2 linked regions of the Canis lupus familiaris genome follow. The protein of the gene in region 2 purifies or fractionates together with the protein of the main gene of each other region. This does not show direct contact. Links are inferred from orthologs where the notes say so. Each region holds a gene or a part of one and is shown on either strand. Other genes may lie near its edges.

Region 1 (15,680 bases), on a different chromosome or scaffold from region 2:
GTGTTCCTGGATCCGCCCCAATTCCACTCTAATGATCAGTAGGGTTTCAATAAATGCTGATAGGCCGAATGAACGAAGAAATGAAATCATAAAATCGTAACTTTCATCCCCACATCATTTAAGCAGAAAGACTGTGAAACTATGAAGTCAGACAGATCAGGCTCCAGGACCAGTTCTTCCCTTAGTAGCTGGGTGGGAGGTTCACCCTTCTGAGAGTTCAAGAAATGAATGAATGAATGAATGAATGAACGAATGATAAGCTGTTCTTGCAGAAATGTGTGAAGAATTAAATGACTCAACGCTCGTATCGTCCCCTGGCCACCATCAGCGCTCAACAGAACTACTACTCTCCCTCCTATACCAGGTTCTGTATTTAGGTGGACCGTGAGTTCCCTGAGGGACGGGGATGACAGACTGGGTTCCGAGCTCCCCAAGGTGCCGGGTCACATTTAAGCGACTAGAATGTAGATGGAGGACTACAATTGTTAATGCTCCGGGCGAGGCTGATTGCATACTTAATGGACCTGGCCCCTTCGCAGAGACCCTAAGTCCTAGCATCCCTCAAGAACCTCCGCTTGTTCCCGTACAAATGAAGGCCTACTATACCTGCAAATCGAGTCTGAGGTCCTTAGGACTGCAACCCACCCGGCGCCTCGGCCGGCGGGGCACTCACTACTAGCTCCTCCCCGCTCACACCCCAGGCGGGGCGGCGCCTACGGGCCACGCCTGCGCACTGCTCTCTCCTTAGTCTCCACCCCCCTTCCCTTCTTTTCTCCTTCGCGTTTCGAGAGCCGGGCCCTTTTTGTCCCCTACTGCGAGCGGTGTCAGTTTCCGTGCGGAAGTGGCGGCCGTGAGGGAAGATGGCGGCGAACGTGCCTGCTGCAGTGGCTAGCCGGGCCAACAAGCGCAGCGGCCCCGGGCCGGGAGGCGGCGGCGGCGGAGGCGGTGGGGGAGTCAAAGGGGCGGAGGAGGAACCGCCGCCGCCCCTGCAAGCAGTTCTGGTGGCCGATGGCTTCAATCGCCGCTTCTTCCCCATCTCCAAGGACCAGCCTCGGGTGAGCGCCGCGCGGGAGCAGCCGGAGAGCCCGAAGGTGGCGGGGCTAGAGCAGGTTATTCTTTCGGCTGCCTAGTGAGGAGTGCTCTGGCGGATGGGCTCTCGTAGCACTGGCCACCTCAGGTTTGGAAGGCATGCAGAGGGCTAAATGTAGAAGCAGCTCTTGTGAGAAGCCTTCACACGGGGATGCAGTGCCTCAGAGGGAGGCCGTAATGCCTTTAATTATGCTGTGGAAGAGGAGATCCTTGGGTGAGTGGGAACAGCACCTCCTTTTGCCTGCAAAAGGGAGGCCGTATGCTTAAAAATAGAGCAGACCGGTTAACAGTCTGATCCCATAGTAACAGCTGTCTTGAGTCTCGATGGGTGTGCTTTTTTTTTTTTTTTTCTTTCCAGGTTTTAATGACAGCCGATGCCATCTGTCAAAAGGAGGACAGAACAGGTTTAGTGGTTGGTTGCCAGCAGACCCCGTGTTGTCTAGATGCTGGGGGAGCTGGACGGAGCTAGTTTTAGGGATTGCTGGGTCACTCAGAAGTCCCCAGTTCAGTCAGACGGGGAGCTGGATTAGGTTCGTGAAAAATCCTAACTCCCACTCCTCCCCAAAAACACCTAATAATGGTTGTTCATTTGGGACAAGTGATTGGAGTGGGTAGCCTCTGACTTCCCTTAGCAAGAGGTCAAGGGAGGAAATTTTATGGAGAAAATGGTTTTATCACTGCTCAAGTTTCTGGAGATATGATTGATTTTTAGCATTGTCCTTCGCCGAGGTGGCCTGCTGTTCTGTAGCAGCCATGTCCTGTGCTAAGCAAGTAGATTCCATGCTTTACTAGATTCTCATGCCATGAGCATCAAAAGCAGGGGCCTGATTACTTTAACTTGCGAAGATAAAGTAAAACACTGGTAGGGAAGTGAAAATTGTGCTTAAGAGGAGGAAAGAGTAGTATCCAGAGGGCCTTCGTCAATTCAAGACTTCAGACTTTTTTCTTCTCCTCCCCTCCAGGTCCTCTTGCCCCTGGCCAATGTGGCACTAATCGACTACACTCTGGAATTTCTGACTGCCACGGGTGTACAGGAAACCTTTGTCTTTTGTTGCTGGAAAGCTGCTCAAATCAAGGAACACTTACTGTAAGGCTCTGCAATTTTTCTTTCCATGTTTTGCCATTTTTTCCAGTTTTCTTAGGATGGTTGTAGCTAAATAAGGGGCAATTGTGAGGGGGAAAGATATGTCTGTTTGGATTCCATCATATTCTCTTCACTTATCAGAAGGTGAGCAGCTGGGGCAGCCTGGTGGCTCAGCAGTTTAGTGCCACCTACAGCCCAGGGCCTGATCCTGGGGTCCCAGTATCGAGTTCCACATCGGGCTCCCTGCATGGAGCCTACTTCTCCCTCTGCCTGTGTCTCTGCCTCTCTCTCTCTCTCTCTCTCTCTGTCTCTCATGAATAAATAAATAAAATCTTTAAAAAAAAAAAAAAAAAGAAGAAGAAGAAGGTGAGCAGCTAAAGTTGTAACAAAGATTAGAGAATAATATTTGGATTTTTTCTGAATCTCACTTATAAAGTTTGGTCCTATAGGTTTTGCTTTTATTTAATGGCTCCAGTATGGAAGTTATAATACTAACATCTTTCTTTTTCCACTGAGCTTCTAGATATTGAGCTCTTCCTCATATTTGTATTCCCAGTGCCTAGCTTAGTATAAAGCACATAATAAATATTTAACAAATGTTTGATGAAATCTTCTTGAAAAAGAGTGCGTATCAGGATTTATGGAAGTTCAGGGAAAAAAGACTAGAATATTAGCTTGATGTCCTTTGGACAGTTCCTAAATTTGGTTTGGACTTTGGATGGAGAGAAGGGGCATGGAAAGTGTGTTCCCAGGATATTTTGTATACTCTAAATCTCAGCAGGATTTTGAATGCAAATCCATGTTAGGGAACAGGTGTCAGGGTTTGGAGAAGAAATAACCATGTTTCTCTAACCCATAAAACAATACTGGTGACACAGGATGCTGAAACCATTAATTATAGTTTACAAATCTCTTTGAAGTAGAAAATGCTGGCAGGAACCCAAAAAAAGCTATAAAGAAGGCGTGTGAATGTTGAATGGGTGAGAAAAATAAGGAAGCACTACATGATCTTTATGCCTGATTTGCTCGTTCCCCTCATCCCCTTCATTTAGGAAATCCAAGTGGTGCCGCCCTACATCCCTCAATGTGGTTCGAATAATTACGTCAGAATTATATCGATCACTGGGGGATGTTCTCCGTGATGTTGATGCTAAGGCCTTGGTGCGCTCTGACTTCCTTCTGGTGTATGGGGATGTCATCTCAAACATCAATATTACCAGAGCTCTGGAAGAACACAGGTCAGGATGGGAAGATGGTAGGGACAAAGGGTTTGTGACTAGCAGCAGAGCCCTAAGACTGCTATTTTGCTGCTCTCTCCCTCCTATCCTTTATAGATTGAGGCGGAAGCTAGAAAAAAATGTATCTGTCATGACAATGATCTTCAAAGAGTCATCCCCTAGCCACCCAACTCGTTGCCATGAGGATAATGTGGTAGTGGCTGTGGATAGTACCACAAACCGGGTTCTCCATTTCCAGAAGACCCAAGGCCTTCGACGGTTTTCTTTTCCTCTGGTGTGTGGGTATCTGGGGTCCTTGAAGTGGGAAAGTGACAGGCTTCAGCAAGAGACAAGTTAAAGTCCTGGGTGGGCACCTGGGTGACTCAGTCGGTTAAGCATCTGCCTTCGGCTCAGGGCATGATCCCAGGGTCCTTGGATCCTCCTTGCTTAGCGGGAAGCCTGCTTCTCCCTCTGCCCCTCACCCTGTGCTCTCCCTCTCAAATAAATTTTTAAAATCTTTAAAAGAATAAAGTCCTATACCTTTTCCCCACAGAGTTTGTTCCAGGGCAGTGGAGATGGAGTAGAGATTCGCTATGATTTACTGGACTGTCACATCAGCATCTGCTCTCCTCAGGTGAGCTTTTCAGGGCCAGGGCTGCACATCCAAAGAGTAGAACTCTGAGTTCCACAGTAAAAAGTCACTGTCATCCTGACTCCAGTATCCTATTGGGAACTTTTTTGGGATTCTGGTCCTTGTCCAACCATCATAGGATCTGATAGATCTGTAGGGACTTATTTTTGTTTCCAGAGTATAGCACTCACCTTAGCCTCACCAAACGTCCTCCCACAGGTGGCTCAACTCTTTACAGACAACTTTGACTACCAAACTCGAGATGACTTTGTGCGAGGCCTGTTAGTGAATGAGGAGGTAAGAAAAGGCTCCCAGGCCTCTTTAGAAGAGGTCTGTGGTATTATCCCATGCTGATAACTTTTGGTCCCCTTTTGTGTTTTATTGAACCTTAGGATGAGGGAAAAGAGCTGCAAGAGAGAGGGAATGAAACCCAAAGAAAAATCTTGCCCATTTGGCTATGACATTGAGGGGGAGAGGGTAACTTAAGTTTAGAAAAGAGTTGTACCTGAGTGTGTTCTTCCTCTTTTACTTGCTTCGGTGACCTCCCTTTCCTTCTCCCTATTCAGATTCTAGGGAACCAGATCCACATGCACGTGACAACTAAGGAATATGGTGCCCGGGTCACCAACCTGCACATGTATGCGGCAGTTTGCGCTGATGTCATCCGCCGATGGGTCTACCCTCTCACTCCAGAGGCGAATTTCACTGACAGCACAACCCAGAGCTGCACTCATTCCCGGCATAACATTTACCGAGGGCCTGAGGTCAGCCTGGGCCATGGCAGCATCCTAGAGGAAAATGTGCTTCTGGGCTCTGGTACTGTCATTGGCAGCAATTGCTATATCACCAACAGTGTCATTGGCCCTGGCTGCCACATTGGTGAGCACAGGTGGGGAAGTCAGGATGATCTGGGAGCAGGAACCTAGGGGACCCCAGATAAGGACACAGAAGGATAGTCCCTGAGAATAAGGAATAAGAGTGTCTGCTTTAATAAAGGAAGGAATGGGGATGTGAAATTTGTGGCCTATGGGCCTCTTATTGGGTGACTCTTCACATTCTAGAGTACCCTATTCACATTCAGGACCAAGTGGATACTTAACATGCAATAATAATATCTGTTTGGTGCACTGTAGTTTACAAAGGGCTTTGGCATACATTGTTTCATTTATCTTCACAAGGTTTTATTTATCTCTAGTTTATAGCCAAGTAAACAGGCTCAGAGGTTGTCTCCCTCAGGGTCATAGCTAATGAGAGGCAGTGCTAGGACTTGAATCTAAGTATTCTAAGTCCAGTGTTCTTTTTATTCAATCAAAGCTGTCTGGTTGGCTTCTTGGTAACTGACTTTGGTTATAAGAATGTGATACTTCTAATGGAACTGTCCCTTTAAAAAATGTACAAGGAGAGGGGCGCCTGGCTGGCTCAGTTGGTAGAGGGGTTGTGAGTTCAAGCTCCATGTTGGATGTAGAGATTACTTAAAAATAAGTCTTTAAAAAAATAAGTTAAAATGTATAAGAAGAGCTAGAGAGCTTTACTTCTACTTCTAGACATAGATATGATTCTAATAAGGTTTTTGAGCTGAAAGAGATCCTAGATATCTTGAAGGTTCTTAGGTTCTTAAGTTCAGTATACAGTCTTAAGTCCGGTATATAGTGATTATTGTAAACCTTGTGGAGGATGGTCCTGCTAAGCACTATTCTATTTTCAGGCTGGAATATAGAGAGGGAGAGGGTGTTTCTGATGGTTTGGGAGATAGAGTATCAGCTGGGTGGGAGCTGTGCTGTTACCAGTTAGCCCCATCCTCCAGGAATGGCTCTGATCTGGAACCCTGAGTGACCAGGAGTACTTCCTGTCCTGAGCCAGGTGATAACGTGGTGCTGGACCAGGCCTACCTGTGGCAGGGTGTCCAAGTGGCTGCTGGAGCACAGATTCATCAGTCTCTGCTCTGTGACAATGCTGAAGTCAAGGAACAAGTTACACTGAAGCCACGCTGTGTCCTCACTTCCCAGGTGAGACCTGCTCCGTACTGCATGAAGACTCCAAATTGAGCCAGAGAGGCCTTATGTCCACCCATGATCCAACCTGAATTGAGAGTTCAAATTCAGCAGATTCATTTGTCTTCGAGTTAGCATAGTAAAAATAGTCGCTTTCATTATCAGGATGTATCTTTCCCCAACACATTAATGGAGCTGTGCCACCCACTCTTTTCGCATCCTCTAGGTGGTAGTGGGCCCAGACATCACGTTGCCTGAAGGCTCGGTGATCTCTTTGCACCCTCCAGATGCAGAGGAAGATGAGGATGATGGCCAGTTCAGTGATGATTCTGGGGCTAACCAAGAAAAGGAGAAAGTGAAGCTGAAAGGTGTGAGGCTAATCAGGTGTGGGGCATCTGTGTGTCTCTCTGTCCCATGAGAAAGCCAGTGTTTCCTCCTAGAGGGATTGTGTTTCTCTTGTGTGTTCATTAAAGATCAATGCCTTTGCCAGGTTATAATCCAGCAGAAGTTGGAGCTGCTGGCCAGGGCTACCTCTGGAAAGCTGAAGACCTAAACATAGAGGAGGAAGAGGAACTACATCAGAATCTATGGGGTAAGTTAGGCTTTATTCCTGTAACCTCCCGCCTCTAAGTCCGATTTTTTTTTTTTTTTAAGATTTTTATTTATTTATTCATGAGAGACAGAGAGAGAGAGAGAGAGAGGCAAAGACACAGGCAGAGGGAGAAGCAGGCTCCATGCAGGGAGCCTGACGTGGGACTGGATCCCAAGTCTCCAGGATCAGGCCCTGGACTGAAGGCAGCACTAAACAGCTGAGCCACCCGGGCTGCCCCTAAGTCCGAATATTTTGAAGAAAAGTGTATACTTCAGAATGTGACTACTTATTAATTACTTTATTCATTCAGACAGGGCAGATATGTTGCTCTCTGTCAACAGCTCTTTCTTTACTTTTCTTTTTTCTCACCTATATGGGTTCTCAGGACTCACGATCAACATGGAAGAAGAGAGTGAAACTGAAAGTGAGCAGAGTATGGATTCTGAGGAACTAGACAGCCGAGCAGGCTCCCCACAGATGGATGACATCAAAGGTGATGGGCCAGGGGAGCAGTGTGCTAGGACAAAAGAAAAAACCTTCAGTTCATTCTCTGTCTGGGTCAACTAGCCAAAGACTTGTGTTTCTCCCAGAAGGGTTTGGTATAAAGTCAGAACTAGAGAACTTAAAGCATTCTGGAGTGACATATTGGTTCATGAACTTATTCTTGCTTTGATTTTAGTATTCCAGAATGAAGTACTGGGAACACTACAGCGGGGCAAGGAGGAGAACATTTCTTGTGACAATCTAGTCCTAGAGATCAACTCTCTCAAGTAAGAGCAGCCCTCCCTCTTCTCTCCTCTGGGTAATCCCAGGCAGGTAGAGGTTCTCTCCTGTTTCTTTCCCAAATAAGAACCAATTCCTTTAACATCCCAAATGGACAAAGCCAGTAGCATTTGGAACAAGGAGAGCATTAGGTTCTGGCCTCAGCACAGACTTCTCTCTTCCAAAGCCTTCTCCTTGCATGTTGTTCCATCCGCCTTCTTCCCCAGTGTCCTACCAAAGTCATAGTCCTACAGCATGCTGAAATGGCCAGTGAAGGCTCTGGTGTTACCCCTCCACCCCCATCTCCCCACAGGTATGCCTACAACATAAGCCTAAAGGAGGTGATGCAGGTACTGAGCCGCGTGGTCCTGGAGTTCCCCCTGCAACAAATGGATTCCCTGCTGGACCCAAACCGTTACTGTTCCCTGCTGCTTCCTGTGAGCAAAGATTGGGGCTGAGTACAAGGGATTGGCTGGAGGCAAATCCATGTCCTTGCCATGTTTCACTTTAAGGGAAATAGGGAGTAGAAGGTCTTATTGTGGGATTTTTTTACTTGTGGTTCCTTTCTCCTTGCCTCTGGATGCAGATTGGGTAGTAGAGCAGGCTTGGCTGGTCCAGAGCAATCAAGTTAGGTTCATACTGAGTGCTCTTTGAAACTCCAGGATTCAGACCATTACTAGACCCCAAAGGTATGCCCAGAATAGACCTAGACTTTTATATTCTCTGACTGAAATGATTTGACCCAGAATGAGATCAACCTGTAGGCTGGTAATAGGTATTTTGAGGCAGCCTGTAGGATCTGACTCCCTTTCACTTTCCCTGGGAGATATTTTCTTTTTCTGCCAACCTTGACCTCCAGCAGCTCCCAAGTCCCTCTGACATGATTCCTCAGGCCTGTATCATCTCCCCTCTTGTTTTCCTATATCCTAAAAGTCCCATATTTCCAATATTGACTTTCTTTGCTATCCGGATGTAGGTGCATGCTCAGGAATATATTGCAGCTCCCTTCTCCTTTCTTCCATAGCTGCTTAAGGCCTGGAGCCCTGTTTTTAGGAACTACATAAAGCGTGCAGCTGATCATTTGGAAGCATTGGCAGCCATTGAGGACTTCTTCCTGGAGCATGAAGCTCTTAGTACTTCCATGGCCAAGGTGAATACCACCTCAAGCCCCATTGCCCTGGATTTCTTTTGAAACAGGCCTTGGCTACCTCCACGGAGACACAAAACAGGCTAACATGAATCCAGTATGGGATTTGAGTAGTAGCACCATCCACCCCTATTATTGTGCTGATTGCTGCAATAATACAGCTTGGAGTCAGGCTAGTAAGGCAGCCTTTTGGAGATTATCTTGGAGACCCGACAATAATTCCAGAGGTTATACCAGTCCCAGTTGCAGAATGAAAAGCTCATTTTTATTTGTTTTAAGAGCAACTGCTTGGTGTTTTAAAGGAAGCTGATAGTCTGGTAGAGAGAAGTGCTAAGATCTTGTCCCCTCTTCCTCTGTTATATCTTGCTGGATTCTGCAAGGTCCCTGAGATCTCTTCTGGCCTTCGGCAGGTACTCATGGCTTTCTACCAGCTGGAGATCCTGGCTGAGGAAACAATCCTGAGTTGGTTCAGCCAAAAGGATATGACTGACAAGGGCCGGCAGTTGCGCAAGAACCAACAGGTGAGTCAGGCTGCCCTCCTGTCACCAAGGCAGTTGTCTGGTCCCATGGTTCATAGGGAATGAAAGGCCTAGATTCTTTTCCAGCCTCTGTAGCTGTTAAAGCTACTTATATCCCCCTCCCTCAGTAGCTTTCCACTCTGCTTCCTTACAGCTGCAGAGGTTCATCCAGTGGCTAAAAGAGGCAGAAGAGGAGTCATCCGAAGATGACTGAAGTTGCACTGTCTGCTTCTCTTGGTGTAGTTGATAGCCCTCCTGGCTTCTGGTTGCCGAAGGATGAATGACTGCCATCTAAGCTGAGGCTTAAAGGAGCAGAGGCTGGAACTACAGTATTCGTCCTACCACCAGCAACCATGTGCCTCCCATCCTGCCTGGGGACTTGGGAAAAGGAAAGTTGGGCTGGAACAAAGCTCTGCCTAAAAAGGAGCAAGGCAGGCTCCGCAGTTAGAGGAAGTCTAGAGGAACAATTTTGTGCTCTGGCCTTCCCTCAGGGAACAGCAGAGAGCAGCTGGCCCTTTCTGCTGCTTGTATTTGTTAATATTAAAAAAGAGACAGGGGGATGTATTTGGTTTCTCTCCAACTATGACTGATCAGCTCTTGATGTAGGTGACCAGAAAGTTCTGAACCTGGCAGCATTTCCCGAACACCTGGGGGAGAGGGAGAAGTGGGGTGTTACGGCCACTAGGTGGTACTGTGGTCCCTTGCTAATTGACCTTTGCCGTGGCTCATAGGGAATGAAAGGCCTAGATTCTTTTCCAGCCTCTGTGGAACAGTCCGTGGTCCTGGAGTGATGTGCCTGAGGCTATTTCCATAGAGAGTTCTAGTCCCAACACTTTCCTGCCGGAGGATGATGATCCAAGCATATGTAAAGTCCGTTACACTCCCTCACAGGGTCCAACTGCCACTCCCTCACATGCTTTGTCCAGTTGATCCAGTACTACTACCAGGGAAGCTGGGATGTTCAGATAAGGAAAATTTGCTTAAGGTATCAAGATTCTTAAAAGGAGTAAAGCTAAGGACTTGAATCTCGTGATCAAAAATTCTTTCTGTTTCAACATATTCAGTGTCACAGTGAAAAAAAATTGCCTCCAGAGGCAAATATAATGCCAAGCCAGCAATAGGTATCCTAAGAACAGAGGAAGATCCTATGAAATGGGCTTTCCCCTAATATTGAGAGAGTGCTTACCATATGGTAAGAATTTTGCTAAATACTTTTCATGTGTTTAGTTAGCCTTCACAGTAGATGAGGTAGGCCTTATCCCCATTTTCAGATGAGGAGCCTAAAGTTCAGAGATGTCCCATAACTGGTCGTTGATTGAGCCATGCTGGAGTTCACCACTGTGCTGTATAGTCTCCTTTAACCTCATGAGACCTGCCTTTCTGTCTCATCTTTCTTGGCTTTCTTGTCCTAAAACTCATATCCTATTGACACTTAAACCATGGCAGATGTTACTGTTAATAAGTGGCCCTCCTTGACATCACAGATAAAATGGTTGCCATTGTTCATTTTAGTTGGGTAGAAAAGAGTAAGCTAAGGAAAATGATACTGAAATGTATTCAGGTGTGAAGGGCATTACTGAGTATTTCTAAAGTATTTCTAGAGTATTTCTTTATCTCATCTAATTTAGGATTTGGCTTAATTTACTTTTCTTATTCGGTAAATCTCAGTTTGTGCTTTTCAGATACAGGACCTAGAACCTACAGGGGATATGAAGGTTTTGGCATGGCCTACTAGGAGCAATTAAATACAAATAACTTATAGGGCACTTCTGATTTGTACCTAATGGGTGGCAGAAATCAGAAGTGGCCTATAGAACTTTTTAGAAGGAAGAGATTCCTTCTAGTGGAGTAATTGAGGAGACTTACAGGATTATGACACCTGAGTTGCCTAAAAGTAGAGGTAGAAGGGGACTTTAAAAGCAAGCAAAGGATTTCCATATAAATATGGTACACTAAACATGTGGGGTTTTTTACTTTTTCCAAAAGCCCATTCAAATGCTAGTAAAGCAATCTTCAAAAAAAGTTCATGACTCAATAAGGAAAACCAGAGGTGATCCCAATGATTGAGAGACACTGACATTTTGGGAAATGAAAAATAAATGAAAGAGTCAAAGTTGACTTAACAGAGCAGAATAAAATGGGTTCTATCTGCTGAGGTGACTAACAAGAAGCAAACCCAATGTGCCCTTTTATTTATTTATTTATTTAAGATTTTATTCTTGAGAGAGAGTGAGGCAGAGACACAGGCAGAGGGAGAAGAATCTCCCTTCATGCAGGGAGCCTAATGTGAGACTCCATCCCGGGTCTCCAGGATCACGGCCTGGGCTGAAGGCACGCTAAACTGCTGAGCCACCCGGGCTGCCCCCAATGTGCTCTTTAAAACCCAGAATAGGTGTAGCAGAGCAGATAAGGATTGGTTGCTTACAACAGGATTGGGTGGAGAGGAATCCGAGATCTATATGAGAGAAGGTCTCCCAGGTCTACCTCATCTAATTTAGCCAGGTGATTACCCCCTACTCTCCTGCAAGAAGTGGGAGAATTAGTCTCTGGAGAAATGATAGGGAAGAAATTATCAAAGAAATATTTATGAAGGTTTCCTAAACTCAAAGGTATTGGGTTTTCAGACTGACAAGAGTTCATGAGCCTAGTAGAATGAGTGAAATAGCCCCATGAAATTTCAGAGCCTCTGGACAAGAGCAGACATGGGGATGGGGGTTATCAGCTAGATTGGAAATGAGGGATTAAGTATATGAGGGCTCTGAATATCAACAGAGGCAAAAACAAACTGAAAAATGGAGAAAGCCTTTAAATACTTTTATTTTTTTGTTTCCTCAAAACAAAAAGGCATCTTTACCCCCACTTGATTACCCTACAGTGAAATCTGTTAGTTAATAAGCCCTGTACACGGGGGTACCTGGCTGGCTCAGTTGGTGGAGTTGGGACTCTTGATCTTGGGGTTGTGAGTTGAAGCCCCACTTTGAGTAGAGAGATTACTTTTAAAAAATTTTTTTAATTAAAAAAAAAAAAAGCCCTGAACAAAGACAGAGCTTCCAATTAGCTGCTTAGTATCTCGCTCTTAAATGTGAATAGACTGGGCCGCCCCGGTGGCACAGCGGTTTAGCGCCGCCTGCAGCCCGGGGTGTGATCTCCGGAGGATCTCAATGCGGAATAGAGTCCCGCATCAGGCTTCCTGCATGGAGCCTGTTTGTGTGTGTGTGTGTGTCTCTCTCTCTCTCTCTCTCTGAATAAATAAATAAATAAATAAATATTTTAAAAATATATTTTAAATAAGTAAATAAATGTGAATAGACTGCCAATGGCCATCAAAAATTTGAGGAAACTTCCAACATGAAAGGTGAAGACCAAAACAAAACTGAAATCAAGGAAACAATGAGAAAATGGGGAGCTTTTTTAAAACCTCAGGGTGGGGGGAGCTATAATTATTCTCAAAACTCAAAGAGGGAAGATATTTTATCTATGAAGAAAGTTCTATGAAAAGGGAGGACTAGATGACAAGGCTTTTAGAAATTTAAATAAATTATTTCCTACTGATAATTTGAGGACTAGACAACTGAATAGGATGGAAACTATATCCATCCTTATGTCGTTGAATTTTTGAATTGTGAACATTTTACCTATCCAATTGGATAGAAGGAAGGTTGGAGATAATACGAAAATCTCACAAAAGTGCAGTTATTTAAAAATAAGGGGGGAGAGGGGCACGTGGTTGGCTCAGTGGTTGAGCATCTGCCTTCCACTCAGGTTGTGATCCGGGGTCCTAAGATCAAGTCCCACATCGGGCTCCCAGTAGAGAGCCTGCTTCTCCCTCTGCTTATGTCTGCCTCTCTCTGTGTGTCTCTCATGAATAAATAAAATATTTTTTTAAAAATAAGAGGGAATATATGGTAAAGGAGAAAAATAAGGATCAATCTAGAAGGTCCAACATCTAACGGGTCGTAAAAAGAACAGGGAAAATGGTAGTGATGTTATTAAATAATTCAAGGAAATACTGTTGAATTTCTAGATGGAAAGATCTCACCAAGTGCCTAGCATAGTAATTGAGCACCAAGATGCATCACCATGAAATTTTAGAGCCCCAGGAATAAAGAGAACTTACTAAAGATTTCCAGAGAGTAAAAACAAGCTATGTGCAAAACGTTAGGAAAAATAGAGATCAAACTGACTGCTTAATAGCAACACTGGATGCTGGAAGACAATGTAGTGATACCTTCAAAATTTTGAAGGAAAATTACTTGGCAGTCATTTTCAGATTTGCAAGTTCTTGAAAGGGGTTTTCTTTCCCGTGCTTCCAAAGTAAGCCACCATAGGTGTGCAAATGAATAAAATATCCGGGAAACAGGGATCCAACATCGTGGAGGTAAAGGGAGTTCTGAGGAGGATGCTGTCCCAGGATGACAGCTGTGCATAGGCGGAGACAGCCAATAGTGCAGACCAGAGCAAGAGAATGGAAGGCCCTAGGGGGGAAAATGGTTGGATTATCGAATATATTTGGCTGTGTAAGCAAAATATGCATGGAAAACTATTAGATTATAAGACTTAATGGTAGATATACTATATGAAAAAGCAGAAGTATGGGGGATCCCTGGGTGGCGCAGCAGTTTGGTGGCTGCCTTTGGCCCAGGGCGTGATCCTGGAGACCCGGGATCCAATCCCACGTCGGGCTCCCGGTGCATGGAGCCTGCTTCTCCCTCTGCCTATGTCTCTGCCTCTCTCTCTCTCTGTGTGTGACTATCATAAATAAATTTTTAAAATTTTTAAAAAAAGAAAAAGCAGAAGTAAAGCAATGATTAATGCCAGGAGAAACAAAAAGTTGTAAAAAGGAAGCATTTACTCATAGGCAAAATGTCAATACTAAAAACTATATTCGCTTAACCAAAAGTATCATTTTACTATTTTAAAAGGTTAGGGGGAGGTGGAAGAAAGATAAATCCATCAATCAAATTTGGAAATAAATATGCAATGTCCAGAATGCATAAATCAACAAATAGTATGAGGCTTAAAAATATGTATATACTGGCATGGTATGGAAAATGGAACAGAGAACTGCTGTTAAGAACTTTATTAATATGCACATATATTTAATTAAAAAAGTAAAGAGAAGGGTATGAAATGAAAATACACAAGGTATGTGCAGAGGCTAGCAAATAGGTTGATTTGCTGAAGTAAAAAATTTAGCCAGGATATAATGAAAAAATAGCTGTAGAGGTAGGTAGTTTAGGTTATGGAGAGTTTTGAATATTGTTCTAAAAATATTTGGAAAGCACTGGGGAGTGTGGAGATGTTTCTGAGCAGGAGAGTCTGGAAGAGGTACTTACTTTGAAAATGCTAATGTGGCAACAGTGTATAAAATGGAGGAGGAGGAGCCCACACTTGTTCCTGTGGCCTTAAAGGACCTATGTGGTCTGGTCCCAGCCTACCTCTCCAGCCTCATTCTACCACTATCACTATAGTCACAATGGCCTTCTTGTTCTTCAGATTGAGAGTTCATTCTTGCCTTGAGCCTTTATACTTGGCTGTGCCCTCTGCCTGGAATGCTTTTTCCCCCACACCAGATCTTCTTCTAGCTGCTTTTTTCCTTTTTTTTTTTTTTTTTTTTTAAGATTTTACTTATTTCAGAGAGAGAAGTAGACTCCCGGCTGACCAGGGAGCCCTACGGGCTTGAGGCTCCATCCTAGGACCCTGAGATCATGATCGTGACTTGAAAGGTAGATTGGTTAAGGGACCTAGCCACCCAGGTGCTCCTCTTTTTCCATTTTATGCCTTCGCTCAAATGGAAGAGGCTTTCTCTAATCACCCATGGTTCTCTTCTCCTTTTTACTACCACATCACTCCATTTTATCTTTTTCATAGCGTTTGTCACTCTGAAGTTATTTATTTCAAGCTTGTGTGTCTCCTTTCAGATGAGTGAAAGTCCAGACTGAGGTCAGCCTTATCTGTCTTGTCTTCACTTTATCCCCTGCAGCATGCCTTGCACCTTAGTGGGCACTCACTTATTAAATGAATTAAAAGCTAAGAGGTGGGATGCCTGGGTGGCTCAGGGGTTGAGCATCTGCCTTCCGCTCACGTAGGAATCCTGGGTCCTGGGATAGAGTCCTGCCTGCATCAGGCTCCCAGTGCGGAGCCTGCTTCTCCCCCTGCCTGTGTCTGTGCCTCTCTGTGTGTCTGTCATGAATAAATAAAATCTAAATAAGTAAATAGATAGATATATCAGATAGATAGCTAAGAGGTGAGGAGATCTATCAGGGATAGATTATACCTAATTCTGGTTTGAGACTTACCGTCCCAGTCATGCACTCATTTTCATTCTTGTGCTCATTTAGCCTCAGTCCATTTATGAAGCCACTGACTGCTCTGCACCTAGAAATTGCAGTGAGGCTAGAGGGAATCAGAACTTGATTCTGTTCTATTCTCAAGGAACTTAATTTGGAAGACTCAGTGACAGCAGCTATGTTTTCCAACAGACCCTAAAAGGACCATGTGAAGGTCACTTTCCCCCATCCACACCTGGTCAGAGCCACCCCCCACCACCACCACCACCAAAGTGACCCCGGGCTGCTGGGGCACAGCGCTTCCGCCTCGGGTCCGGAGCCGAGGCCCTGAGGAGTCCGAGAGGGCGGCCCTCCTGGTG
Region 2 (15,905 bases):
TCGAGTCCCACATTGGGCTCCCTGCTTGGAGCCTGCTTCTCCCTCTGCCTGTGTCGCTGCCTCTCTCTCTCTCATGAATAAATAAAAATCTTTATAGACTCAAATACCCCTTCAAATATGTAAAAAAACTCTTGCCTTAAACTTATCTGGGACATCCTGCTGGTTTAGTGGGAAGAGTCGTACAAACTTGAAACTTTCTGCAACGACATAAAAAGGCTTGTTCTGTGCTTTGGCGCACACGGCCATCTGGTTGGTTCCAATCTGGAGACACAGAGAAAATGAAGGATAAGACCTTATAGCACATTCAAAAGCATGTGAGTGACTATATAATATATGAAATCTGGCTTTGGAATTAAGATCTTTCAGTTATTTTTTAAATTTTATTTATTTTTAAAAAGATTTTATTTATTTATTCATGAGAATGCACAGAGAGGAGGGGGGGGAGAGAGAGAGAGAGAGAGAGAGAGAGAGAGAGAGAGAGAGAGGCAGAGACACAGGCAGAGGGAGAAGCAGGCTCCATGCAGGGAGCCCAACGTGGGACTTGATCCCGGGTCTCCAGGATCACGCCCTGGGCTGTAGGCAGCGCTAAACTGCTGAGCCACCAGGGCTGCCCTCTTTCAGTTTTTTAAATGCTTATTTATTTGAGAGAAAGAACACAAGCACAGAAGCTGAGAGAAAAGCAGGCTCCCCACCAAGCAGGGAGCCCAACATGTGGCTCGATCACAGGACCTTGAGATCATGACCTGACCAAAGGTAGATGCTTAACTAACTGAGCTACCCAGGCACTCCTAAAGAGGATATTTTAAAAAAGAGGACATGGGATGCCTGAGTGGTTCAGTGATTAAGCGTCTGCCTTCGGCCCAGGGTGTAATCTGAAATCCCGGGATCGAGTCCCACATCGGGCTCCCTGCACGGAGCCTGCTTCTCCCTCTGCCTGTGTCTCTGCCTCTCTCTGTCTCTCAGGAATAAATAAATAAAATCTTAAAAAATAAAAAGAGGACAGAATAGACATTTCTCCAAAGATATACAAATGGCCAATACACACACGCTCTAAAGATGCTCAAGATCCTCAGTCATCAGGCAAACGCAAGTCAAAACTACAATGAGATACTACTTCACACCTATTAGCATGGCTATAAATTAAAAACCAAAATAACAAGTATTGGCAAAGATGTAGAGGAACTGGAATACTTGTATATGCTGAGAATGGAAAAAGGTACAGCTGCTGTGGAAAAGTCTGGTAGGTCCTCAGAAAGCTAGACATGGGGCAGCCCTGGTGGCTTAGCGGTTTAGCACTGCTTTCGGCCTGGGGTGTGATCCTGGAGACCCAGGATGGAGTCCCATGTCAGACTCCCTGCATGGAGCCTGCTTCTGCCTCTGCCTGTGTCTGTGCTTCTCTCTCTCTCTGTCTCTCTCATGAATAAATAAATAAAATCTTTAAAAAAGAAAAGCTAAACATGGAATTACCATGACTCAGAAGTTCCACTCAGATACATACCCACAGCAACTGCAAATAGGAACTCATAATTGTGCACCTATGTTTGCAATAGCATTATTCACAATAGCCAAAATGTAGAAACAACTCAAGTGGACAGGAATGGGTGGACAAACAAATGTGCTATATGCCTAGGTGGCTCAGTGGTATAGCATCTCCCTTTGACTCGGGGTGTGATCTCGGGGTCCCAGGATGGAGTCCTGCATCGGGCTCCCTGTATGGAGCCTGTTTCTCCCTCTTCCTCTGTCTCTGTGTGTGTCTTGTGAATAAATAAATAAAATCTCAAAAACAAAAACAAAACAAAAAAATAAATAAATAAATAAAATCTTTATTAGAAAAAAAAAGAGGGATGGAGGTGACACCTGCTATCACAAGGATGGGCCTTAAAAACATCGTGCTGGGGATCCCTGGGTGGCGTAGCGGTTTAGCGCCTGCCTTTGGCCCAGGGCGCGATCCTGGAGACCCAGGATCGAATCCCACGTCGGGCTCCTGGTGCATGGAGCCTGCTTCTCCCTCTGCCTGTGTCTCTGCCTTTCTCTCTCTCACTGTGTGCCTATCTTAAGTAAATAAAAATTAAAAACAAACAAACAAAAAAACATCGTGCTGATTATGGGGCGCCTGGGTGACTCAGTCGGTGAAGTGTCTGCTTTCAGCTCAGGTCATGACCTCAGGGTCCTGGGATTGAGCCCCATGTCAGGCTCCCTGCTCAGTGAGGACCTCAGTGAGGACCCTGCTTCTTCTGCCCCCACTCATGTGCTCTCCCTCTCAAATAAATGAATAAAATACTTAAAAAAAGAAAATATCGTGCTGAGTGAAATCATGCCACTGAACGCTAAATGTGAAAACTGTATGTTATGTGTCTTTCACTACACACCACAAGAAACAAATGATCATGAAATCTTCCCATGTTAGGCAATGGACAAAGAATTTTAATACTACTTTATACTGATGTCAAATATGCTCGGTTTAAAAAAAAAAACCAACCAACAGTCAAACTCAATTCCAGTTAAAACATGTTTTGAGAAAAGATAAACTGTATTCCCATGATTCACAGAGATCAAAGAAATGTGACCAAAATTTGGCCACTGTAGTGACCTCTGGGGCCAAGGAAACCATTGGCTGTGATGGTGACATATGGAGACTAAGCAGAATGGAAGAGTGGATGCCAAGATGGGGGTCAGCAGCCCGGGTCCACGTCAGGGGCAAGGAGCTCTACAGAACTGACGTTCTTACCTTGTTGATAATCCCCCCGTTTTCAACAACTCCTTCAGCACCAACGATGACCAGATCCACTTTCTCCATGATATAGCTAAAAAAATTAAAGCAAAAAAAAAAATTTTTTTTTTTTAATATTTTACTTATTCAGGAGAGACACAGACAGAGGCGCTCCCCCATGGCTGCTGGCACATGTATACAGGTGTGGTGACTGATAATGAGGATTTCATGACCTGATGTGATCCTTGCTACTTGTGGTACATACTGTTTTCTGATCTACTTCAATACAAACAAAACAAAAATTTAAAAGCCTGTTGTGATCTCAAGTTGGAAAAGAACATTATGTAATTCAGGAATCTTTCAGCTAAGGTAAAGGCCAATTTACCTTTGAAAATGAACAATTCAGGGAATTCTTCAAAATGTTTTCTTCTGAATGCATTCTTAATTTCCTTATCAGCTGCTTTCTGTGTGTTTGTGTTTTTCTGAGAGACTTTCAGTCCTGTTTTCTTTTGTGAGGTACACTGACAATTCTCTGAACACTTGTCCTCAGTTTTAGGAGCAAAGTTGCATGAGTGAGTCACAGAATCCCAGAGTGCCACTGAGGATAGCTAGCCCATGCCTTTCTGTAAAGAGGGAGTGTGCTGATCCTAACCCAACTTTTGCATCGTGCTCTTAAAATGCACCATAAAACTACATAAACGACTCTCATTCTCTGCAACACCCTACAGCTTGTGTCCTGCATACACTCTTAAGACCTTATAATGAGCTTGCTGGATTAATGCAGCCATCAATTCAAAGGCAGGACATTACCCAGTGAGGTTTTATCAATCTGGAAACCCTGCTCCAAGGCAAACCTGGGAGTGGGTGAGGAAAAGCAACCGTGCTCAGGGAAGTTGGGAACTTACCCAACAGCAGCATCTAGGACCACAGTGACAGGGACGTTGAGGTGGCAGAGAGCTTTGGCCATTTTCTTACTGGAAAGTGACATTTTGAGAACAGAAAAAGTTGAAGAGTCCCATAGTGATGTATGATGAGTCACTTAATTTGGACAGTGGTCAATCAAATTAGCTTGAAACTCAGTTCATAGGGATTAAGGGGCACATCCCAAGACTCTGGATGAAAGAAATAAGAATTTGGGTTCTTTAGAAGAAAATAGGTATTTCAGGAAAACAATATTCTTGGGGAATCTGGGTAAGAGAACCAAATTCAGAAAAAAAGGATAAAGCTTCTTCTTTCATTATCTTCTGTTTTTTTTTTAAAGATTTTATTTATTCATGAGAGAGAGAGAGAAGCAGAGACACAGGCAGAGAGAGAAGCAGGCTCCATGTAGGGAGCCCGATGTGGGACTCGATCCCGGGACTCAAAGATCACACCCTGCCCCAAAGGCAGGTGCTAAACCGCTGAGCCACCCAGGGATCCCCCTTTCACTATCTTCTAGATGGATATGTGAATTATCTAGTCCTTGATAAAAATCTTTCCACTGATGTATCTGTTGCTGTTCCTCTGATTTAACTACTAAGTAAACAGCCTAGATCCTGTACTGTGGCTACTGCCAATTCACAGGGATCTTCCTTCAGGGGCAGGAAGACACCCAAAGGCAATGCTGGGTAACTGGCCACTCGGGGACATGTTTTGGGGCTTCCCACACAGGTTTTAATCCTCAGTTTGCACTTTAGAATGACTGCTGGGCCCAGAACCAAATGGAATGATACTTGCCCTGATAAATCAGGCTGTGACTCTGTAATGTACACACTGAAACGCTTCTTGGCCGCCACGGCTGCCTCCAAAACTCTCAGGACCACTCTGGAGTAGGCGTGAGTTAATATTCTCTGTGGACCAAGAAACCTCTGTCAAAAGGGCAAGCTTAGCAGCAATCACCTGCGCTGTGCCCTGCTAACGCAGGCTCCCAGTACCCCAAGGCTTCTCTGTATGCCTTCTCACAAACCAACTGGCATCAGGAAGGAGATCCTCGATGGCACATCTATTGTGGGTCACCTCTTCCTACAGCAAATCCGGGAGTAGAATCTCCATGTGGTGTTGCTCACAAGATACAAAAGCCTTTCTGTCCGAAGGCTCTGTTTAGTTCCTTTGAGCTGGCTTTCCCATTTCTAAGACATGGTTTGCACACTCAGGTCCACAGGCATTAGGCAGGCTGCATAAAGAAATGCAGCAGCTCAGGCAGGGCTAGCAGCAAAGAGGAGAGGCCAAGTTCCAGCTGCTGTCATGTGGTCTCACAACTGCCAGAGCATCTGATATTTTCTTGAAAATCCAAGACATAAGGGTTGGCTACTTAATTTTTAAAAATTAATAAATACCATTTGGGGTAAACACAACCTATCTGTGGGCTGGATACAATATGCAGACACTCACTTCACCTTTGTTCTAATGAACAGACTAAATGGTTCTACATAATGCAAAATGGATGCACAGAGCACCTTAGTTCCTTTCTGGGCCTCCCCCAGGGGCTTGTTAGCAATGCATATTCTCAGCCCCACCTCAGACCTGCTGAATCAGAACGTCCCTGAATGAGATCCCAAGGTGGTTCATCTGTAGGTTTAAATGTGGGCAGCTCTGTTCTGAATTTAGCCTAAAGTCAGTGCTGATGCAGGTAGGTATTAACAGGTTCAAACACACCAGAGCAAATGAAACCCGCAGAAAGCTGAGTGTAGGAGTTTGGTGGAAACAGAGGGGCCTTAGCAAGAGGCAATCCTAATCTTGCCTCCATTTGCCCCAAAGCAACTTTGTTTGCAACTGGCTTTTGTACAGATTCCACTCACAACTATTACATCATTTATTGAATAACACACTTCAAAGGTTGGGAAGGGGATAATAAAGCAGGACAAGATTTCAGAGTCAAAAATGCAAGTAAATAATTTTATGGTCTGAGGCTGGGGTGGCAGAAGAGGGACGCCATGGAAGAGATATCATAAAGGTTTTACTGCCCCTTTGCTGGCGGACTGGCTTAACCTGCAGCTCCCGTCTTCACCTACAAACACTTGGCAGCTCTGCATCTCTGAATTAGCACTAGAGATGAAATTAAAGACAACACCCCAACACAGTGCTAATCTTCCCTGGAAGACAGTATGGAAGACAGTATGAACCAGTGCCAACAGCTGTTAGGTGGTGATTTGGGTTTAGTACGTAACCAGTAATGAAAATACTTCTTTGGTAAAGACATCTTATTAAACCAAGAATCCATGCTATCCCAGTGGTTTTTCTCTTCCTGTTTATTTTATTTAAAGTTTATTTATTATTTTTAAGTAATCTCTACACCCAATGTGGGGCTCGAACTCATGACCCCAGAGATCAAGAGTCACCACTCTTCTGACCGAGCTAGCCAGGCGCGCCCCTGCCTGTTTAATATGATAGACTCTGTAATAACATCTACACATTTCTTTAGTGCTTACTGTGTGCCAGGCATAGTATAGGGTCCTTAGGTCATCTCATTACCTCCTCCCACAACCTGATGAGGTGGGTGCTGTTGTTACCTTTATTTAACAGATGAGAAAACTACAGCACATAGAGGTTAAGTAACTTGTCCAAGGTGACACAGCAAGTAAGTGGCAGAGGAGAGATTTTACCCCAGGAGTCTAAGTCCAAAGTCTCTGCTCCCAATTACTGCACCTAAGAAAATCTACTCACCGCCCCATCTTTGATGAAAGTATGGCAGAGATCTGCAATTTTATTTCTTGATAGGGATGTTCTCCTGAGAAAAAGTTCTCCTCGCTCTATCATGATCTTTTTACATTTAGAGTAATCCTAAGAAGAAAAGAGAAAAATGTGGAGGAACTGAGATCCAGGTAAAGCAGCCGAACAAAGAAGTAGAAAGGTAACCCAAGGAAGGCAGGGCTTACAGAGTATTCCAGGGAAGTAAGGCTGATGAAACGCAGGAAGAGCTTCCCACCAGAGGACACGGCCACGGAGGAGTCCACACCACACAGGGTTCCTATGGCACTGGTAAGATTGGCTCGCAGGCCCTGGATCGTCTCCCCTGGATTGATCACATGAGGAATGTAATGTTCAGTTTATCATCACAGCCCCTTGGTGGGTATGTGATGCAAACATTTCATTTGTTCAACCAGTGTTTACTGAATGCATCCTCTATGGCAGTGGCAGATCAGCGAGCAGACAGACAGGGTCCCTGCTCTGACAGAACTCTCTTTCTAGTGGCAAAAACCAAGCACACAAAGAAATACACAAGTTACAGACTGATTGAGGAAAGAAAGCAGCAGCATGTTGAGAAGTAAGGGGCTACTTTAGAAAGCTAACAGGGATGGCCTCTGAGTGGAGGCCATTTAAACTGAGACCTGGGTAAAAAATGATCCAGCCACATAAAGATCCAGTAGGAAGGGTGTAGGTGTAGACTACAACACAAAGATCCTGAGATGGAAACAAACTTGATATGACAGAGAGGCCACCGGGGTTGACACACAGTTTAGTGAGGGACGGCGTGGGAGGAAATGAAGAGGAAGTGGCAAGGTGAGGTCTGTGAGGTGGTGTAGGCAAGGTTCAGGTATTTGGGTGTTATTGTAGGTACAGTGGGAAGACACCATGGCTTTAGGCCAACCCTTCGAATTAAAGGAAGCATTATTATTACTATTACTATTGTTGTTATTTTGCTTATAAATGATGTCATGCTCTACCAACAAACTTACATTTAGGATGCCTGAACTAGTAGGCAATCCCAATGAATGACATGAATACTAGAATTCTGGGATACTCTGTAGCAACTGCACAAATTCTGGCATAAGTCAGAAGCTGCATAAAAACTTGCAAAGCTGAACTATTGCTATAATTTAAGCTTCATGGTTAACTTGATATAACATGGTCACTCTTGATTCAAAGTGTATCTCACTTATGAAAGGGGACTCATTTAATGATAACCAGTGGGCTCTTTCCAAGTTAAAAGGAAGACTGACATGAAGGAGAAGCTGGACTTGGAGCTGCATTACCTTACAAGCGCCAGACACAGTCTTACTTCCTACACTTCTGACAGTTACTAGAGGTCTTCCCTAACACCCAGAGTGTTCAAATATCACTCTCTTCACCTTTATCTCTCTTCAAGAACTCCAGCAAAGTCCGGATGGCAGCTACTGCTGAGGCCATGTCAGGATCTTCTTTCATCTGAGACTTGAAGTATTCAATTAGCTCTGGGGAGGGAGAAAAAAGTGATTAATCAAATTCATTTAGTAGGATGTAAGACCAGAGAGCTTTTCAATGACTGCTGACCTTAACAAGCAAACTGATTTTATTTATCTATTTTTTTAAAATATTTTTATTTATTTGAGAGAGAGCACACATGGAGTGGGGTGGGAGGGGGAGAGAGAGAGAAGCAGATTCCAGCTGAGTGGGGAGCCTGACGCCGGGCTCGATCTCAGCACCCTGAGATCATGATCTGAGCTGAAGACAGACATTTAGTGAACCGACTGAGCCACCTAGGCACCCCAGAAGCAAACTATTAAAAAAAAATACTTTCTTTTCAGGGTGTTTGGCTTCACGGGCGTTATAAATGTTGATAGGAATAGAGATGACACCACTTTAGTATTTACGAGCTGTCTTTCTCACTCTTTAAAAAAGATTTATTTACTCATGAGAGACACAGAGAGAGAGGCAGAGACACAGGCAGAGGGAGAAGCAGGCTCCATGCAGGGAGCCTGATGTGGGACTTGATCCCAGATCCTGGGATCATGCCCTGAGACGAAGGCAGACGCTCAACTGCTGAGCCACCCAGGCATCCCTGTCTTTCTCATTTTTTTGGAAAAACCTATCCGTGCACAAAGAGCATAAAATTTAAGCACCACCCCATGATAACAGAAGGTCATCCTCCCTCTAATCCTTGACTACAAGTCCTAGGAGAATCCCAGAGTCAACCACTTTATCAACTTACCCTCCACCTGTCCAGACAGTCGATGCCAATTCTAGCCTGTTCACCCACTTACACATACACATGTATATGCAGCAGCCCATCCCACTCTTATTTCTTTTAAATGAGAAATATAAGTCAGTTTGCCCTTGTGTTTCACTTAATGAAACATCCTGATAATCAGATGAACGCATCTAAAACGTCTTTAAAAAAATTCTAGTACCAAATCCAAGAAGGCGGGGAATCACAACCGCGGAGACGCGCACACCTAGTCTAAGTCTCCCTTTTTTGGAGGTGGGCGTTGGAAAGCGGCGGGAGAGGAAGGTCTGGGGATACCCTGAAGACCCATCCCCTGGAGACAGGGGCAGCGGGAGGGACTGAGCTGCGACTGGAAGCAGCAAATACAGCCCTGCAGCCTAAACTTGCAAACGGATTTCTCGCAGGGCCCCGCCCGGGCGTGCCAGGTGGGGGGACCCCTGCGCGGCTCCGCTTCAGTTCCAGCAAGCCCATCCATTACGACTTACCCTTGTCGTCCATGGCGCCCTCTGGATCGCACAGCCCGAGGGGACCCGGACAGCCCGCGCTGCTGGAGCGGGTCCCACCGCCGCGGGGACTCGCGGCCACAGGGACTGCCAGCACGCCGCGCGTCTCCGCGCTCCACTTCCGGCGCCCTGGGGCCGGGGCCCTGGGTACGGCGCGCGGCTCGCGTCAAGCCGCTCTTGCGTCACTCGGCTGCGCCGGAAGTCGGGGTGTGCAGGATCCGGGAGGAGCTTTTGACGGCTCGCTGCCTCTGCGTTGGGGGATCCTGGCCGCCATGGTGTCAGACGGTGAGGGGTGTGCGGGGAGGGACCCCCACCCCGGGACTGGGCAGGACCACCGAGCTGGAGCATTATTTGGGGGGCTGGGGCAACCTGTCTGGTCTTTAGAGGAGTAGCAGATGTGTTATTTTATTCAATAAATAGTTTTGAATGGTCTCCGGTGTGCCAGCGTTGTTGTATGCGCTGGGGAATACAGCAGAGACCATGGCAGTCAGGGCCTTCGTGGAGGCTGCAGTCCAGTGGGCGAGGCAGACAGTAGTTAAGTAAATAAGAATACTTTCGAAGGGTGACAAGAGCTGTGAAGACAATATACTGGGATGCTGCAGTACTGTCATTAGGGGATGACCAAGGAGGAGCTACGTTTAGATAAGAGTCCAGGTACTGAGAGTGAGTCTCCAGTGAGTGTGCAAAGGCGCTGTGGCGAGTTGAGTCGTTACATTACACTAAGAAATGGCGAACTTGAGGGTAGAAGAAGATGGAGAGACTTTCATTCATACATTAAACTACCAGCTATAGAGCCTGCTGTCTTTTTTTTTTTTTTTTTTTAAGATTTCATTTATTTGAGAGAGAGTGCGCGCACCCGTGAGCGGGGAGCGGGGGTGAGGGAGAGGGAGAAGCAGACTCCCTGCGGAGCAGGGAGACACATGCGCCGCTGGATCCCAGAACCCTGAGATCATGACTTGAGCTGAAGGCAGAGCTTAACCAACTGAGCCACCCAGGCATCTTGAGCCTGATTTTTAAAAAAATTTTCTTTATTAGATGTTGAGCAAGAGCGAGGATGAATATGAGCAGGGAGAGGGACAGAGGGAGAGGGAGAAACAGGCTCCCCACTGAGCAGGGAGCCCAATATGGGGCTGAATGTTAGGACCCTGAGATCATGACCTGAGCTGAAGGCAGATGCTTCACCAATTGAGCCAGCCAGGTGCCCCTAGCTTGATGTCTTAAAGAAAAAAGAGACCAGGGTGGTGGGAGTGAAGTGAGCTAAAGGAATGAGGTCAGAAGCTAGGCAGATGCATGGCCCTTGTGGGTGGTGAAAAAAGAGGTTGAACTTTAAGTGTAGTATGAAACCATTGTAGGGTCTTAAGCAAAGAATTGCATAATTTAATTAATTAATTAATTAATTTTAAAGAATTGCATAATTTTATTTTTTTATTTTATTTTTTTAAAGATTTATTTATTTTTTTACTTATGATAGACATAGAGAGAGAGAGAGAGAGGGAGGAGGGAGGAGCAGGCTCCATGCCGGGAGCCCGATGTGGGATTCGATCCCAGGACTCCAGGATCATGCCTTGGGCCAAAGGCAGGCGCCAAACCGCTGAGCCACCCAGGGATCCCCAGAATTGCATAATTTTAAAAGATCACTTTGGCTGCGGTGTGGATAAGGGAGCAAGAGTGGAAATAGGGAGATCACTTCTTTTTCAATACATACCACAGTCCTGAGAGAGGCAGGCCTGGCATGGGCCTTGTCTACAAATGATGGTGTAGAGACTCAAAGAAGGAAGTTGACCAGGCAGTCCGTGTGTGTGGGTACTCATCTCCCCTATTAGGCAATACTTTATTTTTTTCTCAGGCTTCTGGGCAGTAGCAAGGGCTGGCTGACCCTAGAGTTGTGGGGTGGAGCTCATGGAGAATAAGGCCAAAGGATTGTGGGCTTGTGGGTAGAGGAGTGAAAGACAGTTATTAAATGCTGCTTCTGTGTTAGGCATTTTTGTGTGTGTGATTTGCACTTTTTGTGTGTGTGTGTGTGTGTGATTTGCACTTGTTATTTCATCCCAGGATTCGCAAAAATCCTCTTTCTGTAATGAGGCCACAGTCTAGTGGACTAGTTTTAGCAGAGCTGGCAAGAGAGATCAGAAAGACAACTAACTGTAAAATGAGATGATTCATACTAAGAGGATCAGAAGTGGACAATGGGTTATTGAAAAGCCAGGGATCCCTGGGTGGCGCAGCGGTTTGGCGCCTCCTTTGGCCCAGGGCGCGATCCTGGAGACCCAGGATCGAATCCCACGTCGGGCTCCCGGTGCATGGAGCCTGCTTCTCCCTCTGCCTGTGTCTCTGCCTCTCTCTCTCTCTTTCTGTGACTATCATAAATAAATAAAAATTATAAATCTTGAAAAAAAAAAAAAAAAAAGAAAAGCCAGTCTTTATAGTCAAGTAGATCTGGCTCCATAGCAGGGAGTTTTGCCGCTTGCTAGCAAGCCATGTGACTTAGAGCAAGTTACTTTCATTTGAAAATAAGAATGCCATATTTGTGTCATCTAAGTTATCTAAGACAGTATCAATTATGAGATCTGTTTTTGTTTAGTGTGCCACTAAGAGACATGCTGCTAGTCTTAATTATAAGACACCATCCTGATTTCAGCAACTGATAAAGAGAGAGTCCCTGTCATAATTGATGAAAGATGACAGTAGTATTTCCATCAGTAGTTTGTTGTCAGCATGAAATGGGATTATAGGATTACATATGCTGATGCAGACAGCTATTCTCAGGTTGGGGAGCCAGGACCTGTTGGAAATCCTGGGGAGGATTTTTGGAAGAAAAAAAGTAGCATTGGTTTGGTGCTTTGTAGAGGACATAGGATTTGGATTTGAGAACAAATCTACGATGGAGTGGGGATTATCTGATGTAGGAGGTGGGACTGCAGGAAGGAAGGTGTGGGGGCAGGAAATACATTATTGCTTTTTGCTATTAAAGGAGCATTCTGGGTTTTTCTTAACAGCTGTGCTTATAGGTTCGTATATCTGTCACCTCAGTTAGAATTTAGACTCCTTGAGGGCTTGAACCCAGTATCCCCAGCTTCTAACACTGGTATTTAGCGTAAATGTTTGTTGAATGAATTAATGTGTTGTTAGCCTGTACAGTTGTGTCTAACTTTGGAGAGTAGTCTATTCCTTTTCACAGTAAAATCTTTACATAGCAATTGCTTTTCTCTCTTTGGTTTTCACCTTTTAAAAAGTGGTTCCTGATCACCATTGGCCTTGCTGCAAGGTGGTTTGATGGGCTTGAGGCTAGACTTATTCCTGTGTCTCCCTTCAGCCTCCTTGTGTCCCTAAAATTCTGCTGTTGAATATTAACTGGCTAGTCCGTGCATTCTGTCCTTGACTGCATTTAAAATGTGAATATTTGGGTGCATTTAATAGGTATTTTTTGAGCATCTACCTCATGCTGGGTGGTTGTACCAGGAGCAGAAGATAAGCAATGATAAGACAGACAAGATCCTCCCCCCGCCCCCCGCCCCCGCCCCGGAGCTTACATTCTAGTGCACGAAAGATGTGGTGGTACAGAAAGCAAGCAAGAGCCTGCTGAGGGCCCAGAGAGCTTTCAGTCATTAAAAGCACTTGGCCGGGATCCCTGGGTGGCGCAGTGGTTTGGCGCCTGCCTTTGGCCCAGGGCTTGATCCTGGAGATTCGGGATCGAATCCCACATCGGGCTCCCGGTGCATGGAGCCTGCTTCTCCCTCTGCCTATGTCTCTGCCTCTCTCTCTTTCTCTCTGTGTGACTATCATAAATAAATAAAAATTAAAAAAAAAAAAAAAAAAAGCACTTGGCCTTTGGTTAATTTCAGGATTATAGGATGGTAAACATCTAAAGGCATGCGGTGGTTCTTGCTGTGGTTATAATTTACAAATTGGGATGTTGGTTTGCCTATGGTTTCATGAGGTTAATGTTTTTATTTTTTGTTAATATTTTCAGAAGATGAATTGAATCTTTTAGTTATCGTCGTTGATACCAACCCAATTTGGTGGGGAAAGCAAGCCTTAAAGGAGTCTCAGGTAAGATTACTTGAGGAGGCCTTTGGATAATTCTGGTATAACTATGTTAATATTGCTTTTTAAAAAATCAGCTTCATTAAAGAAAATCAGCTTTATTAAGTTATATTTTATATACCATAAAATTCATCCATTGTAATGTACAGTTCATTGTTTTTTTAGTAAAAATCACAAAAAGATCGTGTAACCATTGCTGCAATTTCATTTTAGAGCATTTCTATCACCTCAGAAAGTTCCTTCCTGCCTGTTCAGTGTCACTGCTTCTACCCTCTAGTTGCAGGCTGTCACTGATGTTTTCTGCCTCTATATTGCCTTTTCTGGACATTTAATACATGCTACACAATATGTGATCCTTTAAAAAAAAAGTCTATTTTGAAATGTTTTATTTTGAAATAATTATAGACTCCCAGGAAATTGTAAAAAAAAAAAAAAAGGTAACAGAGGGGTTCCGTAGCCTTGTTCCAGCTTCTCCTAGTGGTAACATCTCATGTACCTAGATTATAATAGCAAAACCAGGAAATTGACATCAGTACACCCTTGAGACCTTATTCAGATCACAGAACTTTGCATGCATTTGGGTGTACATGTGGTGCTGTGCTGTCTTATCTTGTGTACAGATGTGTGTCACCACCACCACAGTCAAGATGGAGAACTGTCCCATCACAAGCAGGAGCTGTCTAGTGCTCCCTTTATAGTTGCTACACCTTTGTAGTCAGTCCCTGGTCCCTAAGTGGGGTAGACACTGATCTACTACTCTGTTCTCCAGGGCTTTAGTTCTGGTATGGAAATCTATCATATAGGTTTTTTGAGGTTGGCTTTTTTCACTCCACAGATTGGGTTATTCCCTGCATCCATGTTTGCCCTTTCTATTGCTGGGTGGTATTCCACAGTACGAGGTACCAGTTTGTTCTGTCACTTACTAAAGCTTTACATTTGGGCTGTGTTTTCAGTTGTTGACTATTACATAAAAAGCCACTCTGAGAATTTGTGTAGACGTTTTTGTGTGGATAGAAGTTTTCATTTCTGTGGGATAAACGTCCAGGATTGCAACTGCTACAACATACGGTGTAATCGTGTAAATGTGTGTTTGGTTTTATAAGAAACTGCTACACTCTTTTCTAGAATGGATTTATATTCCCACTAGCAAAGTGTGAGAGAGGGAGTTTCTCCCCACCCCAGCATTTGATGTTGGCACTTTTTTATACTAGCTGTTTTAATAGGTATGTAACAATCCATTATTTTGGTCTTGATTGCATTTCATCAATAGCTGGTGACATCACACAGCTTCTTCTAAGCTTGTTCACCATATAGATAAGCCTCCTGAGATCTCTTTTCATGTCACGTGTCCATTTTCTAGTTGGATTGTTGGGTCATGTTTAGCCATTGAGTTTTGAGATTTCTTTATGTATTCAAAATATAAGCCATTTGTCAGATAATCTTGCTTGCAAGTATTTTCTCCTCATCTTTTTTTTTTTTTTTAATTTATGATAGTCACACACAGAGAGAGAGAGGCAGAGACACAGGTAGAGGGAGAAGCAGGCTCCATGCACCGGGAGCCCGATGTGGGATTCGATCCTGGGTCTCCAGGATCGCGCCCCGGGCCAAAGGCAGGCGCCAAACCGCTGTGCCACCCAGGGATCCCTCTCCTAATCTTTAGCTTGTCTTTTCATCCTCTTCTGGTGATCTTTCACAGAGCAGAAAGTCTTTAATTTTGATCAAGTGTAGTCTCTTGATATTTAAAAAATATAGCTTGTGCTTTTGGTGCTGTAAGAATTCTCAACCTTGCTCTAGGTCGTAAAGATTTTTGCCATTGTCTTCTGTGAAAAGTTTTATATTTAAATCCACAATCCAAGGATCCCTGGCTGGCTTAGTAGAGTGTGCAACTCTTGATCTCAGGGTTGTGAGTTTGAGCCCCTGATGGGTGTAGAGGTTACTTAAAAATAAAATCTTAAGTAAACTCCACAATATGTTTTGAGTTAATTTTGTAAAAAAGATTTTATTTATTTATTTATTTATTTATTTATTTATTTATTTATTTATTTATTTAGAAAGAGAGAAAGAGAGCACACACACATGCTGGGGTAGGGGCAGAGAAAGATGGAGAGAGAGAGAGCCTTAAGCAGATTCCATGCTGAGTGTGGGACCCAAAAATGGTGCTTGATCTCACGACCCCAGCTGAAACCAAGTGTCAGTTGCTCAACCGACTGCACTACCCCGGTGCCCCCATTTCTTAAAATCTGTGAAATATAGATTGAGGTTCATTATTTTGCCTATGGATAATCCAGTTGCCCCAGCACCATTTTTGAAAAGTTTACTCTTTCTCCACTGAATGGTTTTCATATCCTTGTCAAAAATCACTTGGGTAGGGCAGCCCCGGTGGCTTAGTGGTTTAGCGCCGCCTTCCACCCAGGGCGTGATCCTGGAAACCTGGGATCCAGACCCGCGTTGGGCTCCCTGCATGGAGCCTGCTTCTCCCTCTGCCTGTTTCTCTCTCTCTCTCTCTCTCTAGTAAATAAATAAAAAAATCTTTTAAAAAAATCACTTGGATATACATGTGTGGGTTTATTTTTGGGTGCTCTTCCTAACGCATTGATCTATTTCTGTGTCTCTCCCTCCACCAATACCACAGAATCTCGTTTTTGATAGCTAGATAGTAAGTCTTGGGTTCCAGCAGGCTGATCTCTCCCACTTTATTCTTTTTCAAAATTGTTTTTTAAGTATTCTAGTTCTTTTGCCTTTCCAT

Evidence for each region.
Region 1: the proteins of EIF2B1 (region 2) and EIF2B5 purify together in Homo sapiens (affinity purification with mass spectrometry; 7 studies listed by BioGRID and IntAct, counting the BioPlex papers as one, with this or other methods). This does not show direct contact. The link is inferred for Canis lupus familiaris from reciprocal best matches to the Homo sapiens genes EIF2B1 and EIF2B5.

The regions. Positions count from the first base shown.
Region 1 is NC_049255.1:17,209,009-17,224,688, forward strand, and holds EIF2B5 (translation initiation factor eIF-2B subunit epsilon), read left to right. Parts: upstream 1-807; 5' UTR 808-860; coding exon 861-1,055; intron 1,056-2,051; coding exon 2,052-2,176; intron 2,177-3,225; coding exon 3,226-3,411; intron 3,412-3,507; coding exon 3,508-3,685; intron 3,686-3,943; coding exon 3,944-4,024; intron 4,025-4,240; coding exon 4,241-4,318; intron 4,319-4,587; coding exon 4,588-4,900; intron 4,901-5,881; coding exon 5,882-6,027; intron 6,028-6,238; coding exon 6,239-6,380; intron 6,381-6,502; coding exon 6,503-6,604; intron 6,605-6,989; coding exon 6,990-7,097; intron 7,098-7,283; coding exon 7,284-7,374; intron 7,375-7,679; coding exon 7,680-7,803; intron 7,804-8,390; coding exon 8,391-8,516; intron 8,517-8,923; coding exon 8,924-9,034; intron 9,035-9,185; coding exon 9,186-9,245; 3' UTR 9,246-10,056; downstream 10,057-15,680. UniProt on the Homo sapiens protein: Acts as a component of the translation initiation factor 2B (eIF2B) complex, which catalyzes the exchange of GDP for GTP on eukaryotic initiation factor 2 (eIF2) gamma subunit.
Region 2 is NC_049247.1:6,233,764-6,249,668, reverse strand, and holds the start of EIF2B1 (translation initiation factor eIF-2B subunit alpha), read right to left. Parts: upstream 9,265-15,905; 5' UTR 9,111-9,264; coding exon 9,098-9,110; intron 7,861-9,097; coding exon 7,759-7,860; intron 6,702-7,758; coding exon 6,565-6,701; intron 6,470-6,564; coding exon 6,353-6,469; intron 4,540-6,352; coding exon 4,427-4,539; intron 3,685-4,426; coding exon 3,616-3,684; intron 2,805-3,615; coding exon 2,729-2,804; intron 262-2,728; coding exon 136-261; intron 1-135. Other genes in the region: GTF2H3 (general transcription factor IIH subunit 3), read left to right, coding at 9,388-9,400, 13,086-13,165.